Diceros bicornis minor: one gene and its partner. The protein of the gene in region 1 purifies or fractionates together with the protein of each later gene. This does not show direct contact. Links are inferred from orthologs where the notes say so. Each region holds a gene or a part of one and is shown in the gene's direction. Other genes may lie near its edges.

Region 1 (8,079 bases):
ATTTAACCTCAGCTTTCGCATCTATAAAGTGGGGACAATAACAACTGTCATGTTCAGAGTTTATAAGGCTCACATGTCATAATGGATCTTTGGTGTCCACAGAGCCGGCTTGGAATCTTGGCCTTGTCACTGATTAGCTTGTGTGGCCTTGAGCATTCTTCTCAACTTTACCTCAATGAGAAAAGTATACAAAGCACTCAGCCAAGTGACAGACACGTAATAAGTGCTCAGTAAATGATAGCTGTTGCTAAGATGAGACATTGCTTTGAAAAATAGAAGGTATATGACTTCATGAAGATTATTATTATAAGTTATGATAAATGTGCTGTTCTTTATACACACTGAAGTGTTGCTTCTGAATTGCTGGCAGTAAGGCATAAACTTTGATTTCCCGCCCCCTCCTCTTTCACATGCTGCTCCAAGTAACAATTGGAAAGGCAGTGGATTGGGGGCGAGAGGTACAATCTCTGGTGATGATGCAATTAGCCCATCCCTTCATCACTGCAGCCAAGAGGCTGCCTCGTACACTGACCATCACTCCAGAATCTCAGAGTTTTGAAATGTTCTTAGCTTACATAAAATTTTCTTTTATCCCTTCAGTGAACCAGTTAAAATTGCAAATTCACAAGGTGAAGACAAGTGTGCAGGTCCTAGTTTGTGTTAGAAGGTAGACTTGAATGCTTTTTGGCCCCTGTTTGATGCTGCTCTGTAGAAGAGGGCAGAGACTTGTGCAGGGTTGCAGCTGAGCCGCAGGCAACAGCCATTCTTGCTGCAGAAATGCTGCAGCTACAGCTTGGCACTGTCTGGGCATTAACCAGCATTCCGATAGTCAGAGATTGCACAACGAAGCACACGTCTCACCTCCACCAAAGGGAAACGTTGCAATGGGGGACAGAGAAATATCAAAATTGTCTCTTCTTATATTCCATCCCCGGACTCATTAGCTTCCTCTCTTACCTTCTCTACCAATCCATCTCCTTGACAAGATTATTGTGAGGAAGGAGTTAATGAGTACACGGCTTTATTTTCCTTGGAAGAGAGATACAAGACAGGCTCAAAGCAGAGCTGTCATCACCCTGCCAGTCTTCAGGGGTTTTATAGGTAATTATTAACCCTTTGTGGCATTCCTGGAAAAAACCCTTTATGTTGAAAGCACCTACTAAGATTTTCCATCTAGGGCCGGCCCGGTGGCCTAGCGGTTGAGTGCGTGCGTTCCGCTGCTGGCGGCCCGGGTTCAGATCCCGGGCGCGCACCGACGCACCGCTTCTCCGGCCATGCTGAGGCCGAGTCCCACATACAGCAACTAGAAGGATGTGCAACTATGACATACAACTATCTACTGGGGCTTTGGGGGAAAAAAAAGGAGGAGGATTGGCAATAGATGTCAGCTCAGAGCCGGTCTTCCTCAGCAAAAAGAGGAGGATTAGCATGGATGTTAGCTCAGGGCTGATCTTCCTCACAAAAAAAAAAAAAAAGATTTTCCATCTATAGTATGTATATGGACTCTCAATTTTTTCAGAGTTAAAATTCAATAACATCTTAAAAATAAGCCTTAGATATATGTAGCCCTAAACAGTTTATAAAGCCCCTTGCGTCCTATATCAAAATGGATCCTTCTTTAACCGTATTAGCATTCAGGTCAGAAGTACCATTATCCTTGTTTTCTATTTGAGAAAACTGAAGTTTAAAGAAAATAAATGACTGGGCAAAGGTTTCCTGGCTAATGAGGCCTGGCTAGGCTCCAGGTCTTCTGAAGGCTCTCCTGGTGCTCTTTTAATGTACTGAACATAATGTGAAATCTCTTCTCGCAGTAAGAAAGCACCTCTGGATCTCAGTGTTCTATAAAATCACCAATTATCACCACCTAGAACTGTAACAAACTGCCCCAATTCAGTCCCCTGGAATTTGTGTAAAAATAGAAATCTCTGTGATCAACCTGCTTTCTTGTTATTTTGTCATTTGCTTCTCTCCCCACTTGGTGATTTCAGGCTATTTAAATGCGGGGTTCCTCTCTTTCAGAGTGTTTCGGATGATTAGCTGCTAGGGCTTCTGTATTTGAAAGAGATCTGTAGTGATTATCGTTGGGGATTTGATTCCATGCTGGCCCTGGAGTTTGGTCTCTGGTAGATTAAAACGAGCTGAAAAATCTAAAATCCCTGGATGACCTCTTCGAGGAATAAGTAACTATTTAAAATTGTGAAAATGGCAGTGGAGGAAAATGAGGACCCAGGGTGCCCAAATCAACTGTTGCTCTGTGCTGAATGGACCACGACTTGCTCTTTTTTTTTTCTTTTTCTTTTTTTTTGTGAGGAAGATTAGCCCTGAGCTAACATTTGTTGCCAATCCTCCTCTTTTTTTTGCTGAGGAAGATTGGCCCCGGGCTTACATCTGTGCCCATCTTCCTCTACTTTATATGGGACACCGTCACAGCATGGCTTGACAAGCGGTGCCTTGGTCTGCACCTGGGATCTGGGCCTGTGGACCCTGGGCCGCTGCAGCGGAGCACACGAACTTAACCACTACACCACGGGCTGGCCCCAGGATTTGCTCTTTTAGAAGCATGGACATAGACTCCCTTAGGAACTTGCCGTTGTGGGTGTTCAGGTCTCCCTGATCTTAGGCTGTGGGCACAGATGAATTCTCCCCTGAGCTCGACATCACTGCTCTCAAGCGCACACTCTCCTTTCAATCACAAGCAGGTTGCTAGTATATGGGCAAACTTCCATACATGGTACGGGGAGCAGACATGACTTCATGCTCTGCTGTAGACGAGAGGAATTGCCAAGGCTCAGGCGCCCAGTCCCCCCAAGTGTTCTTTGGTTTTGGAATCCTCCTCTCTGGCTGCGTGGTAACCAGACCACAGGGGATGCTTTAGATGTGTGGGCACACCTTACCTTGCAGATTCTCAATTCCTATCCTCCAGAACTCTCGTGTCCCCAAAGAGCATCGAACAGGTACACCCACAAGCATTTGGAAAACTTCCGATAATAAATATCCATTTTACCATACCAATAATGGAACAAACCTGAAAGACAATTTTAGGTCAGCAGCCCAAGAAGTTCAAAGAGTTCAATTTCTTTTTGAGGCATATGCTGTTTTATTTTGGGGAGTAGGTGGGGCAAGGAGGATCTGACAGTTTCATTTAAGGAAATGTTCATGGGTATTCTGCATTAAATTACTGTTTTGTATTCTTCCGTCTTGAAAAATAGAAGACACATAACATAGAGGACTTCATAATTTTGGGGTCCTTTAAATTCCATTTCTCTGCTTATTATTATTTTACCAAAAGGCATCACAACAAAGAGATATATTCCTTCTTGTCCAGATGGAAGGTGCATGTTTATGTGGATTAGAAATGAAATACAAAAGCTGGTTAAAGCCCTGGGTAGAATGGGTCAGGTGCAGCATTTTTCTGATAATCTTTCTTGGGGATCATATTTGGATGGATTTATACACATATTTGAGCATTGCTTTGGGCATCACTGCTGGGATCATGGGAGAGAGAGAGAGAAATGAGGCACCATTATCTGATAGCATAATGAATCAGAAGAAGGGGGAGGAGGGAATAAGAAGAAAGGAAACCAGCAACCACTTGACTACCAAGTCCCAACCCCAAGTTTGGTTAAAGAAAAGGGGTGCGCTTATGGCTGAGGTAAAGTTTAACATCTCAATTAAACCAAATCCCTTAGAAGGTGTCAAAAATGGAAAAAAAAAAAAAACCTTAAAATTTTTTTTTTGCTTTTTCTTCCTAAGGAACATCTCTCCTCCGTTTCCATAAATACAAGTCAGTTTCATTTGCTGGAGCAAATGTTTTTCAACAGTCTCGACTTGCTTAATTTTCCTGACAATGTGTGCAGTTATGTTAGAAACTTGCATACTCTTCGGAAGGGACATGAGACACTGGCAAACCAAAAACGCCCAGAGGGGCAGCTATATATTGCTGTGCTAGTCTTTTCCTTTTTTCACTGTGTGTGTGCGCGCGCGTGTGTGTCCGCGCGCAGCCCTTACTGTTTAGATGCACTGTCATAACACATGGCTACCATGTTCGGACATGTAAGAGCCAAAATTAGAAGTTTGTAACTATTTTTACTTTTCTCCTGTCTCTTAAAAGTACTCTATGTCTCCTTGAAAACTGGCTTTAAACGGCTCTGATTTAAACAACCATACAAAGCAATTCCTTTATCGAAGGCTGGAGCATTTTAAGTACCGTTCTACTACCTAGGGCGGTGGGGTTGGGGGGTGGGAGTGTGTGCACCCTTGAGACGTGGTTTCTGCAGTACACATTCACTTTGGTAATCAAGGACATATTGTTGGATTTAAGAGTTCAAGAACAGTCAGGAACAGAAGGCAGGTCCAGATTGTGCCAAGAGGAAGGCGGCCACCCCTAATGAAATAACTAAAGATACTCCAATCAGTAGGTAATTCGTGAAGTTTTTAAATCTGTCTTTAGTCCCAGAGGGCACCTGGAAAATGAGTGCAGATTTGCTCTAAATCCCCGCCCCTGTTTGCAGCCTGAGGAGAAGCGAAGAAATCTTGGGGTCAGACAGCTCCAAAGCGGGGGCGTTACCCTCTTAAGCAACGTTCTCTCCTCCCCTAGACCCAGGGAGCATATCTTTACGCCTCTCCCCAGCCCGCACCCTCCTTCTCCAGCACGGCCCCTTTAAGAGTCGGAGGACTTCTCTCCCTCTCCTCCCAGTCCCCGCCCTTCACACCTTGGGTGGGAAAAGAGAGTCGGGCGGGGCGGCCGCGAGGCGGGAGGGGCGGGATCACAGCGAGCGCTCCAATGGCCCTCCAGGCTGGCCGCCGTGGGCTCCGGCAGCCAATGAGCAGCAGGCGTGGGGCGTGGCGGGGCGCTGTTGCAAATCATCCAACGTGGGCCGGCGGGAGGCCGCGGGGCGCGGAGTCCAGGGGGTGTGTGAGGGCGAGCAGCCGGGGGCGGGGCCTCGGGGACCGGCCCAGGCTGGGCCGCGGGGAGAAGAGCGGCGAGCGGCTGATTGTTCGGCCGCGAGGTCGGCGGGGCTCTCGCTGCGCGGAGGTGCTGTGCGGAGCCCGGAACTGCGCGCGCGCGCTCTGCCTGCGGCTCTGGGACAGCAAGGCACACGGGGCCCTCGGAGCAGTGCAGGGCGACCGCGCCGTCCAGCCCGGGGTCTGCAGCGGGGCGCTCCGAGCCGAGAGGAGGATGCCTTCGGGCGCAGAGCTCGGGCTGCGAGGCTGAGCGCCTGCCCTGCAGCGGCGGCGGCTGCACTTGGCGACCTCTGGGGCTCAGGAGCAGGCCAGGAGCGCGGCGGGAGCACGGAGAGCGCCCGCTGAGCACCCCTTGCCCGGATCCGTGGGGTTCGCAGCGAGCACGGTCGGGTCGGCCCGGATGGGCGCGGGGCTCGCGGCCCCCTCCTGGCGCTGCGGAGCGGCCGGGGCACCGGGGACCCGCTGAGCGCCGGAGCCGCTGCGGCGGAGAGAACTTGTGCCGGTGGCCATGCCCCGGCGCGGAGCCTAGAGCCGAGCGGAGCCCCCGCGGGCCCGCCTGCGCCTGCGGTCGTCCGGGACCTCGCAGCCCCCGCGCCGGGAGTTCGCAGCGCGCTCCAGACAAGATGGCGCGGCCGGTCCGGGGAGCACTCGGGGCCCCGCGCCGCTCGCCGTGCCTTCTCCTGTGGCTGCTGCTGCTTCGGCTGGAGCCGGCGACGGCCGCGGCCGGCCCGCGATCGCCCTGCTCCGCCGCCTGCGCTTGCGCTGGGGACTCGCTGGACTGCGGCGGGCGCGGGTTAGCGGCACTGCCCGGAGACCTGCCCGCCTGGACGCGGACCCTGTGAGTGCCACCCTTTCCCTGAGCCCGGGGCGCTGTCACTTGGGGACGGGGCGGCGGGGGTGCTTACCCAGGAAGGGGGTATGGGTTGAGTTGTGTGTGTGTGAAGTTGTATGGGCTGGAAAACTGTTAGCTTGGGTCGTAGTGGTGAGATCGCGCACGGGGGTCCGGAGGGGAGAGGGCGGGCGTGAGAAGTCTGAAGGAGGAAAGAGTGTGCCTCATGGGGGTCCGGAGGGGAGCGAGCGGGGGTCGTGAGGGTCTGGAGGGGAATGAGCGTGGGTGGTGAGGGCCTGGAAGAGAAAAGAGTGTGTCTCGGGGGGTTCTGGAGGTGAGCGAGCGTGGGTCAGACGCATCTGGAGGTGAATGAGCCGTGGGGCATGAGGGCGATGTGGGAGGTAGTGAGTGGGAGTCTGGAGGTGAGAGAATGTGAGTGAAGAGTCTGGAGGTGAGGGTCTTTGTGCGTGTGTGTGGGTGGAGAGGGAAACATCTGGAGGGGAGAGTGTGAGGAGGTCTGTCTGGGGGTCTGCGGGTATGTGTTTCTTTTTCCCCTTCTGTAACCCAACTCTTTGGTGTCTGAGCTCCTTGGCCTTCCAGTGGGTAATGAATGAAGGTGACTCTTGGCTGCAGTCTTCCATTTACATTATTTATTAGTGAGAGTTTGTGTGTAGCCGCCTCCTCATCTCCCAGGACCATGGTGGCCCGACTTGGCTCTGGCCAGGGCAGAAGGCAGCCTTCCCTGGAGGCTCCCTGAGTTAGGGGGCTTTGAGAGTTCCTGGAGATCTGTGACTGCTGAGAGTTTGTCGTTTTCCACCTGGTTGGCAGTCCAGGGAACTGTGTTCCAGACCCTTCCTGTCTTTTCCCTAGGAGTCCCTTTGGGCTTGATGATCCAGCGGAGTGGGGCGCACCCTCTAGCATTTGTCCTCTATAAATGGTGCAAGTTAAGTTTTGGAGTAGCGTTACTTCAGGAGCGGGTGCCAGAGACTTGGTTGATTTAGGCAGGATTTGTTTCACTGCAAAGAGGCTGTTTTCTGTGCTGTCAGGAGTTTGGCCTATCAGGACTTAGTGGGACACTTCTTACAGGAGGTTTGGCAGGAAAAAAATACATTAGATTTCTGTAAACATGGTAGAATGTAATAGCCTCCCCTTTTTTTTACTTGTAAAAAATCTGGTCCGTGAATCAAAAATCCTGTCCAATTATCAATAATTAGCATCTCTGCAGAACTGTTAGTACCTTCCAGAAAAGGCCTGGCTTGAATAGTCTGCTTTTCAGTTGAAAGTAATTGGACATCTTTCCTAGAATATCGAAGAGACACAGTGGTAACCTCAGGCCTGATATTCACTGTTTAAAAACGAGAAACAAAACTGGTGACGCAAGTTTTAACCAACACCTGTGGCTTGATCTAAGAAAATGTGGTCTGGGTGTCTATCTGGCTGCCTTGAGGGGAAAGAAGAGAAGTTAATTCTTTTCTTATGTGAAGATCCTGTACCTCTGAAAATGGGGCACAGATCTTTAACTTGGCCCACACTAAACATTGCTTAGTGATCGAGCACTGCAGAGTTCTGAAGCTGGACCTGTTAGTTAGGGTTCAGTTTTCTCTTCAACACACTGCTGCTTCTGTGAAATTCACTGGCTTCGTGAAAACCAGTGGTCATAGTGTGGGTTTTAACACAGGCAGTGGCTGTGTTAAGTAGTGAGAGATAGAGCCCAATGTTGCCATTAGGTAGTATTTTTTTTTTTTTTTTGAGGCAATCTGGGGTATTGTGGTTTTTCCTTTACATACTCTTAGGTAGTTTTTTAAAAAATAAAATCATGTGGGCAGTATCAGAATAACTTCGTTAAGTGTTCACCTGTTGCAAGAGTGACTACCAATGCCATGTGTCAGTGGCATTGTGGGGAAGACACTTAGTTCACAAGTGGTGACTTCCCGGAGAAGACAGGGTGTCCTCTTATTTGCACTTTCCTATGGTCACAAGATCCACTTTGCCTTGCCCTTTAATTTTTGGAGCAAAACTACTGGTCGTTTTTTGGGCTTTCTGTTGCCTGTGTGACATTTCACGTGGCATAAATACCTTTAAAATTGCAGTCTTTTCTGTTTTACTCACATTTGATGATCAATAAATTCCAAACTGGGTATTCTGAGCTTCAGTAGACTTGATTTTACTGATTATAGGGTGTTAACTGATTAGATTCTAAGATGTGAATAGCGTGACTTCTGCTTAGTATGTGGCAATATGGTGTTCAGGACAAAATGGGAATCCTTTGGAAAATATTTGTGAAG
Region 2 (7,570 bases), on another chromosome or scaffold:
TGCATTAAAGCCAGGTGAGGCCGAGAGCACATGAGTGCTTTCTATCCTGGCAAAGCAGCCTAAGGAGAGAGGAGGAAAACTCCCCAGGCCTTGGGCCTGCGTTCCTTTTGTTTTTTTGTGAGGAAGATCAGCCCTGAGCTAACATCCAATGCCCATCCTCCTCTTTTTGCTGAGGAAGATTGGCCCTGGGCTAACATCCGTGCCCATTTTCCTCTGCTTTATGTGGGATGCCACCACAGCATGGCTTGACAAGCAGTGCGTCAGTGCACGCCAGGGATCCGAATCTGCGAACCCTGGGCCACCGAAGCGGAGCGCACACTCTTAACTGCTACGTCACCGGGCCAACCCGGGCCTGCAGTCCTGAGATGGGGTGAGAGGGGCTGAGGGAGGTGATTGGCATGCCCAGTTTGTCAGTTTGGGCTCTGCTCCTTTGCTGACCCTAGGCCCTGGGAGTTGGCCTCCCAGTGGTTAAGTTGCAAGTGTTCTTAAAACGCCACCTTTATGAAGGACAGATTTTCTTTTTTTTTTTAAATTTTTATTTATTTTCCCCCAAAGCACCAGTAGATAGTTGTATGTCGTAGTTGCACAGCCTTCTAGTTGCTGTATGTGGGACGCGGCCTCAGCATGGCCGGAGAAGCGGTGCGTCAGTGCGTGCCCGGGATCCGAACCTGGGCCGCCAGCAGCGGAGCGCGTGCACTTAACCGCTAAGCCATGGGGCTGGCCCAAGGACAGATTTTCTTATCAGAAGCTTCCAAATTACTCTCTTGTGGCCCCAGGGAGGCCTTGTGCCTACTCTTGGGGGGACTCTTTCTAAGTAACTAATTCATATAGACACTTCCCCAGCAACCCATGCCCTAGACTCGAGGCCTGTGGGGAAGGCTCCAGTTTGCGGCTTAGACCTCGGACTGTGAACCGTCTCCTCCCTTTTTCTGTTTGTTTTCAGTCCTCTGACCCCAGGCTGGCTGGTGAGGTAGGCAGAGGGGAGGAGACTCTGGTGCCAACACACACAGACACACACACACAGACACACAGACAGACACACACACACACACACACACACACACACACACACAGAGTCTTCTGTGCCCCCCAGTCTTAGTGGCTGGTCAATGATTGACTGGCATTTCACAGGCCGCTGGTTCCAGACCTCAGCCTGTTGACCATTAGAGGTCACCTCCCTAAGCCAGAGCCCCTTCCTGACTCTTGAGTGCCGGTGGTCACCTCCACTGCCCTCAGGCCCAGTACCTGTTGCACAAGGACCTCCTCCGGCAGGTCTCATGCCTCTGCCCTCAGCCCCTCGGTTCACTCTCCTCTGTCCTGCAGTCAGCCCTCTCCTGTGTAGCTGTCTCCCTCTCCCCAGGCCCCTCACTGGACCCTTCTGGCAAACTCTCAGGCTCTTCCAGCCACCCGGCCATCCCCCCCCACCCCAAGGTCCCCCCCCCTCAGCTTTTGTCCCTCAGACATCCTCTTTCCTTGGCTCTCCTGCCAGGCCCTGCTGGAGGGGCAGTTGAGGGGAGAAGCAAATCAGCAGCGCCCACCCCTGCCCCCCTTCCTCTCCTCTTGTCAAACACCAGACAAGGTTTTTTCCCCTTCCTTCCTGGCTCTGAATGGGCTCATTCTCTTTGGGAGACTTGGCCCCTCTCAAGCCTCCTCCTGGGGCGTGAGTTCTGACCCCCGCTCCCCCCTCATCCCCACTCCCGCTGGCTCCACCCTCTCTCTGCAGCCCACTAGGACTGAGCATTGTCTCCAGTCTGGGTTTCCTCCTGTGATCCGGGATGTGGAGAGGGTGGGCTTGTCTTGGCGGGGGCGGGGGTTGGAGGGGGAGGAGGGATTTTTGTGGAGCTAGGAACCAGCAGTTACCTTGATTTCTTGGAGGACCCCCCTCTGGTTCCCCTACAGGGGCCCAGGGAGAGGGTGGGTTCATGATACCCTTGATTTGGGACTCTGGAGCATAATGGATGAAGCCAAAGCTTCATGGCTCAGTTCCCGTTACCTCGGAATCTCGGGGTTCCTCTTCTGCAAAATGGGGAAGATAACACCCCTCTTCTCTGACACCCTGAGGCCTCAGTAAGATGAAGAGTGTCTCTCCAGGACGGAGAGAGTGGTGCAGAGTGAGAGTCCCGTAAAGGATGGCACCACTTCCCTGGCTGGATGAACTCTTCTAACACAAGAGCAGGGGAAGGTGGGGCCTAGGGGAGAAGTGACATCTCTAACACCCTGACGGTCTCTTGAAGACTGCATGTGCACGTGCCTGGGTGCAAGCACTCTACTATGTGACTGCAAATGACTCTTGGAGCCAGGTCAGCAGTCTTCTTTCCCCGCAGGGCTGAGAGGCACCTTGACTGGGTTCTGGCCTGTGTGATGGGTGAGGGTGAGGGGCTGGTTCTGCTGGCTGTTCAACTTTTCCCTCATTAGCCCTGAGATGGAAGGTCCTGGGAAAATTGGTTAACTCTCTTGAGCCTCCATTCCCTTGACCCTCACTCTAACTCTAACTTGAGTCTTAGAGAAAACAGGGGTATTGATGTCCATCCTGAAGGGCTGCTGTGTCCCCAGACACAGCAGTATTTCTTTAACGTTCATGACCATGATCCAAGGAATAAATCCATTGTACCTCATCACACCGGACACACATGCCCTTACCCACACTCACCCTTACTACACGTGAGGATGTGATGCGGATCTTTTCTATTCCATTCTATATCTTGAAAAAAAAAAGACCTGGGCCAGCCCCGTGGCTTAGCGGTTAAGTGCGCGCGCTCCGCTACTGGCGGCCCGGGTTCAGATCCTGGGCGCGCACCGAAGCACCGCTTGTCTGGCCATGCTGAGGCTGTGTCCCACATACAGCAACTACAACGATGTGCAACTATGACATACAACTATCTACTGGGGCTTTGGGGAAAAAAAAGGAGGAGGATTGGCAATAGATGTTAGCTCAGAGCCGGTCTTCCTCAGCAAAAAGAGGAGGATTAGCATGGATGTTAGCTCAGGGCTGATCTTCCTCACACACACACAAAAAAAGACTTGACTTGATCACCTAAATTGGTTTCATGACTGACCTTCTAATAGAACCTGACCTGCAGTTTGAACATCACTGGTTAGAGCTGGAGGAGGACTTACCAGGGTGTTAAGAAAGGGTAAGCTTCAGGCCCCTCATTTGCATGCATGTGTCTGCTTTTGTATTCATAACTTTGTATTCCTCTTGTTAAAGAGAGTCCCCCAAATTTCATAAGCTTCAGGCCCCACAAAACCTGGATCTGTCCAAGTATAAGAAAATCTGAGACCATGTATTAAGCAATCACTATGTGCCAAGTACTGTGCTGAATGCTTCAGGAGCATTATTTCCTATAATCCCTAGCACAGTATGCCAGATGGCTATTTTACAGGTGAGCAGACTGAGACCCAGAGAGGCTCAGTCACTTGCCCAAGGTCACACAGCCAATAAGGGGTGGAGTTGAGATTTGAACTCAGGTCATTCTGATCCCAGAGTGCCCTGTTCTCACGTCCCTACTGTGAAAGTGCCCGCCTATAACCATGATAGGAATATGGAAGCAGCTTAAGCAACGCTAGCGTCCTTCACTCTCCAGTCCCCAGTAGGTGCCTCTGATCCCCTCTTGACCAACACAGGCGTGCCCTTGGCTGAGGCATTCCAACTAGAGTTGCCAGATTTAGCAAATAAAAATAAGGATGCCCAGTTAAATTTGAATTTCAGATAAACAGAGAATAATTTGTTAGTATAAGTATGTCCCATGCAATATTTTGTTGGAATTTCCAACAAAAACATGCCTTCCTTCCATCGCCCACCCCCAATCCCCCCCCCACCCACCACGGGGCCTTAAGAACATGGTCCGGGGCTCCCGGTGGAATGCAGGGCGGGGAGGTGGAATTGAGCAGGCTAATAAAAGGCAAGAGACACAGAAGAAACCCTGGATGTATGGGGTGCTGAGTGCCCCGGTAAAGAAACACAAGGGATATTCTTGGAAGGATTGAGATGGAAGTCTCTCCAATTTGACTCTCTCTCCCCCAAACTTGTAGACCCCCTTAAAACCACGCGTTTCAGACTGAAAAAGATACCTAAGAAATTCGAAAAGCTACGCCAGGGAGTCCCGGAAGCCACCAATGAAATACACCACTATTGACTAGCAATTTTACTTAAGGATGCGGTGGGAAAACCATTATTTGATATGAAAACAAGGCACGCGATGGAGTAGGATGCAAACTCGCCAGGAATGTTTACGATAAAACCTGCGACTTAAAAGAGAGTTAAGGATGTCAGCCTAAAGCATTTGCTCCAGACTCCTGAGGGAGGGGTCACGAGCACCCTCCTCTCCTTTTGGGGGTTCTCCTTGGGAACGGGTGAGAACTGCTGCAGGCAGCCCGAGCGTCCGGGCGCTGGGAGGGACGCACCCCGGCCTGCGCCGAGAGAGGGAGAAAGTGAAGCTGGGAGTTGCCACTCCCAGGGACTTGCTGGAATGTGGTTGGAGGGGGTGGGGGGGGCGAGTTGTGAGCGCGCTTGCTCCCAATCACAGGAGGAGGAGGAGGTGGAGGAGGAGGGCTGCCTTGAGGAAGTACAGGCATGAAGTTGTGGAGCTGAGATTCCCCTCCATCGTGCCCAGAGAGCCGACAAGAGCCCCCCGAGGCAGCCGTCCGCCCCTTCGCAGGGTGCCCTTTCCGGCGCCGAGCGCCCAGCCCCCTCCCCTCGACGCGCCCGGCGCCCTCCCAGCCTGGTCCAGCCGGAGCCATGGGGCCGGAGCCGCAGTGAGCACCATGGAGCTGGCGGCCTGGTGCCGCTGGGGGCTCCTCCTCGCCCTCCTGCCCCCTGGAGCCGCGGGCACCCAAGGTGGGTCTGGTGTGGGGTGGGCATTGAGCAGTGACGGGACCCTGCAGCCTGGGACCCCCGTGGAAATCCTCGGGCCGGCGGGGGCTCCCCGACCCGAAGTTTCGGGCAGTCCAGGCGCTCAGAGCAGCCGGCCCCCGGCGGGGAGGGGGCAAAAGAAGGTGGGACGGGGGGTAATTACACCAGAGCGGCTCTAGATGTCCCATTCAAGGGACTGGCGCTTTCCAGACTCCGCGACGGCTCCGGGAACTTGTCAAAAAAGTTCTCTGAAATTGTTCAGAAAGTTTTCCCTCAAAGGGTGTATTGCATGGTGTGTGTGCGCGTTCGTGTTCCCCCTTCTGAGCCCCCTCAGGCTTTCTCAAAGCCTTTCCAGTTGGCAGCCTCCGCCTCCAGACTGGACTGAGCTGGATTTCTCGGGGGTCTCTTCTGCCTGCCCCTCCCCCTGCCCCCCCCTTCGGCAGATAGGGTTTAGTTACTCCAGCTTCGGACAGGATCGGGGTGTGGAGGGGGGAGGTGGGGAAAGCAACCTGTCCAGCCGGAGCCGGGGAGGAGAGAGGCCAGTCGGACTGCAGAGTTGCCTCATGCTGGAGTCGGGGATGGGGGGAGGGGGAGGCGTTTGTTTTGAACAAGTTTTCTTTAGGGCCAGTTTGGAGACTGTGTGCTTTATGACTTTTGGAGAGCATGGGCCCCGGAGGGGTGGTGGTGGGTTTCCTGGTCTGGGGCTCAGAATGGGAGAGTTCTAAGGGAGGGATTTCTGGGCAGTTGGAGGCGGGAGGGAGGCTAAGAAATAGGACGGGACAGGGGTATGCGGACGGCTGGGTTGTCCTGCCTTTTTCTTCACGCTGTGTGTGGGGAAGAGTTATGGGGGGGCAGGGTGGGGGCAGTGTGTGTCCTGCCCATCTGTCCATCTGTATGCAATAATGATTAGAGGTAACGTGTGCTGGGAATATACTCTGTGCCAGGCTCTGTGCAGGTGTTCTGCATGTGTTCCCTCCTTGAATAGAACAACCCTGTAAGAGAAGTCCTACTAGTATTCCCATTTTCCAGGTGAAAACCTGGACTCAAAGAGGTTAATAAGTAGCAGAGAGTAAGTGGTGGGTCCCAGATTGGACCCCAGGCAGTGGGACCTCCAACCACACATTCGAAATCACTGTATTAATCTACCTTGAACAATGGGGGACGCTGCTCCCTGCATCATGGGGTTCTGGGGAAGACAAAATGAGAGTGTTCTGGAAGTAGTGGGTGGTCTCCATAGGTCGAGGAGTCTGGAGAAGGGGTGGGTGTCATCCTGTCTGTGTGTTGCCCGAGGGTCCTTCTGTCAGAGCGTTGCTGTGTTATCTGAGGGGCTTCTATGCTAGGGTGTTCTTGAGTTGTGTGGTCTGTGTGTTTGTGTGTTTGGGCTTTGTGTTGCCAAACAGCAGTCTCCATGCTGACTTGGGGACTCGGCTGAACTCTGCCCTCTCAAGGAACTCCCTCAAGGTGCCGGGCCAGAGCTGCTGTAAACAGCAGGAGGTGGCCCCACACCTTCTTTCCAAGGAAGGAGGCTCCTCTTTCTCGGGAGCCCATCCTTCCCCTCCCTGTTTTCCAGGCGGGTATCTTCACCCCTGACCTTCTGCGGAGAAGGGTGAGGCCAGGCTGGGCTTTCAGGCTGAGCTGCTGCCCTCCTCACCTGGGCCTTCGAATTGAGCAGGTGGAGAGTAGCCGAGTTGCTGGGACCTGAGGGGTCGGTTCTGCCACCGATGACCCGGGCCTCCTCAGGTCTTCCTCACCCCTCAGCCTGCACTGCTAGGTTGTGTGTTGTGCAGGGAATGGTTAAAATGGCAGCGCACCACCCAGCTGCCTCTAGCACCCCCATTATATCCCAGGGCTAATGGCTGCGGCAGGAATGTGGGGGAAGGGGAGACAGAAAGGCCCAGAGGGTCAGCATTTCCCTGGGATCCTTTTTTAGAGGTCAAGGTTTTGTAAAGTGCAACAAACACATCTTCTTTATCTTGCAAAGCTCATAGTTTAATTCCCATATGATTCTCCCAACAGCCTCCTTCCTTCTTTTTACTATACTCAAGGAAAGTAACCTCATTTTAATATTCAGGGAAAAAATGATTGAAAAGATAGGATGAAATGCAAAAAGAGAATTACTCATACTCCTGCTGTATGAACTTCCCAAGCCTTAACTTTTAAAATATATACAGCGTGCTTCCTGTGTGCAGGTGCTTCTCCATTACGGTTTCATTTTCTGTCTGCAACAATCCTGTGAAGGAGGTACACAGGTGAGAAAACTGAAGTTCAAAGAAATGAGGTGACTCACCCAGGGCTTCCCAGCGACCCAATAATGTCCAGGGCATTTTTGTACTCTAATGAGGAGGTGTTAAGGGTTGGTCAAAGTCTCGTTCCATGTCCATCCATACAGGAATGGGTTGAGCGAAGCCTCAGGGGCAGCCAGGTGGCTGGACTGGGGGACAGGTGCCACTCTTACTCAGGTGAATGAGCTCCCTTATCTGGGCCATAGAAAGTGGGGTGAGTGGGGCCCCCCTGAGGTCCCCTCTAGGCTTCAGAGTCCTCCCCCTCCCTGTTCAGCCCATGTCTGCCTTCCTCTTGGACCCTCCTGGCATTGCAGGGGGCTGAGGGCAGGAGCGGGGCAGAGGCCAGTGGGACCTGCAAGGCGGTGGGTGAGGGAGACAGCTGGAGTAGAAGCATGAAGGACCAGTGTGGGGCAGGGGTTGGGGGCTGGTGTTGGGC

What was found.
Region 2: the proteins of LRIG1 (region 1) and ERBB2 purify together in Homo sapiens (co-immunoprecipitation; 4 studies listed by BioGRID and IntAct, with this or other methods). This does not show direct contact. The link is inferred for Diceros bicornis minor from reciprocal best matches to the Homo sapiens genes LRIG1 and ERBB2.

What each region holds. Positions count from the first base shown.
Region 1 is NC_080741.1:65,480,785-65,488,863, reverse strand, and holds the start of LRIG1 (leucine-rich repeats and immunoglobulin-like domains protein 1), read left to right. Parts: upstream 1-5,018; 5' UTR 5,019-5,588; coding exon 5,589-5,803; intron 5,804-8,079. UniProt on the Homo sapiens protein: Acts as a feedback negative regulator of signaling by receptor tyrosine kinases, through a mechanism that involves enhancement of receptor ubiquitination and accelerated intracellular degradation.
Region 2 is NC_080757.1:39,359,086-39,366,655, forward strand, and holds the start of ERBB2 (receptor tyrosine-protein kinase erbB-2), read left to right. Parts: upstream 1-4,550; 5' UTR 4,551-4,764; coding exon 4,765-4,837; intron 4,838-7,570. UniProt on the Homo sapiens protein: Protein tyrosine kinase that is part of several cell surface receptor complexes, but that apparently needs a coreceptor for ligand binding. Essential component of a neuregulin-receptor complex, although neuregulins do not interact with it alone.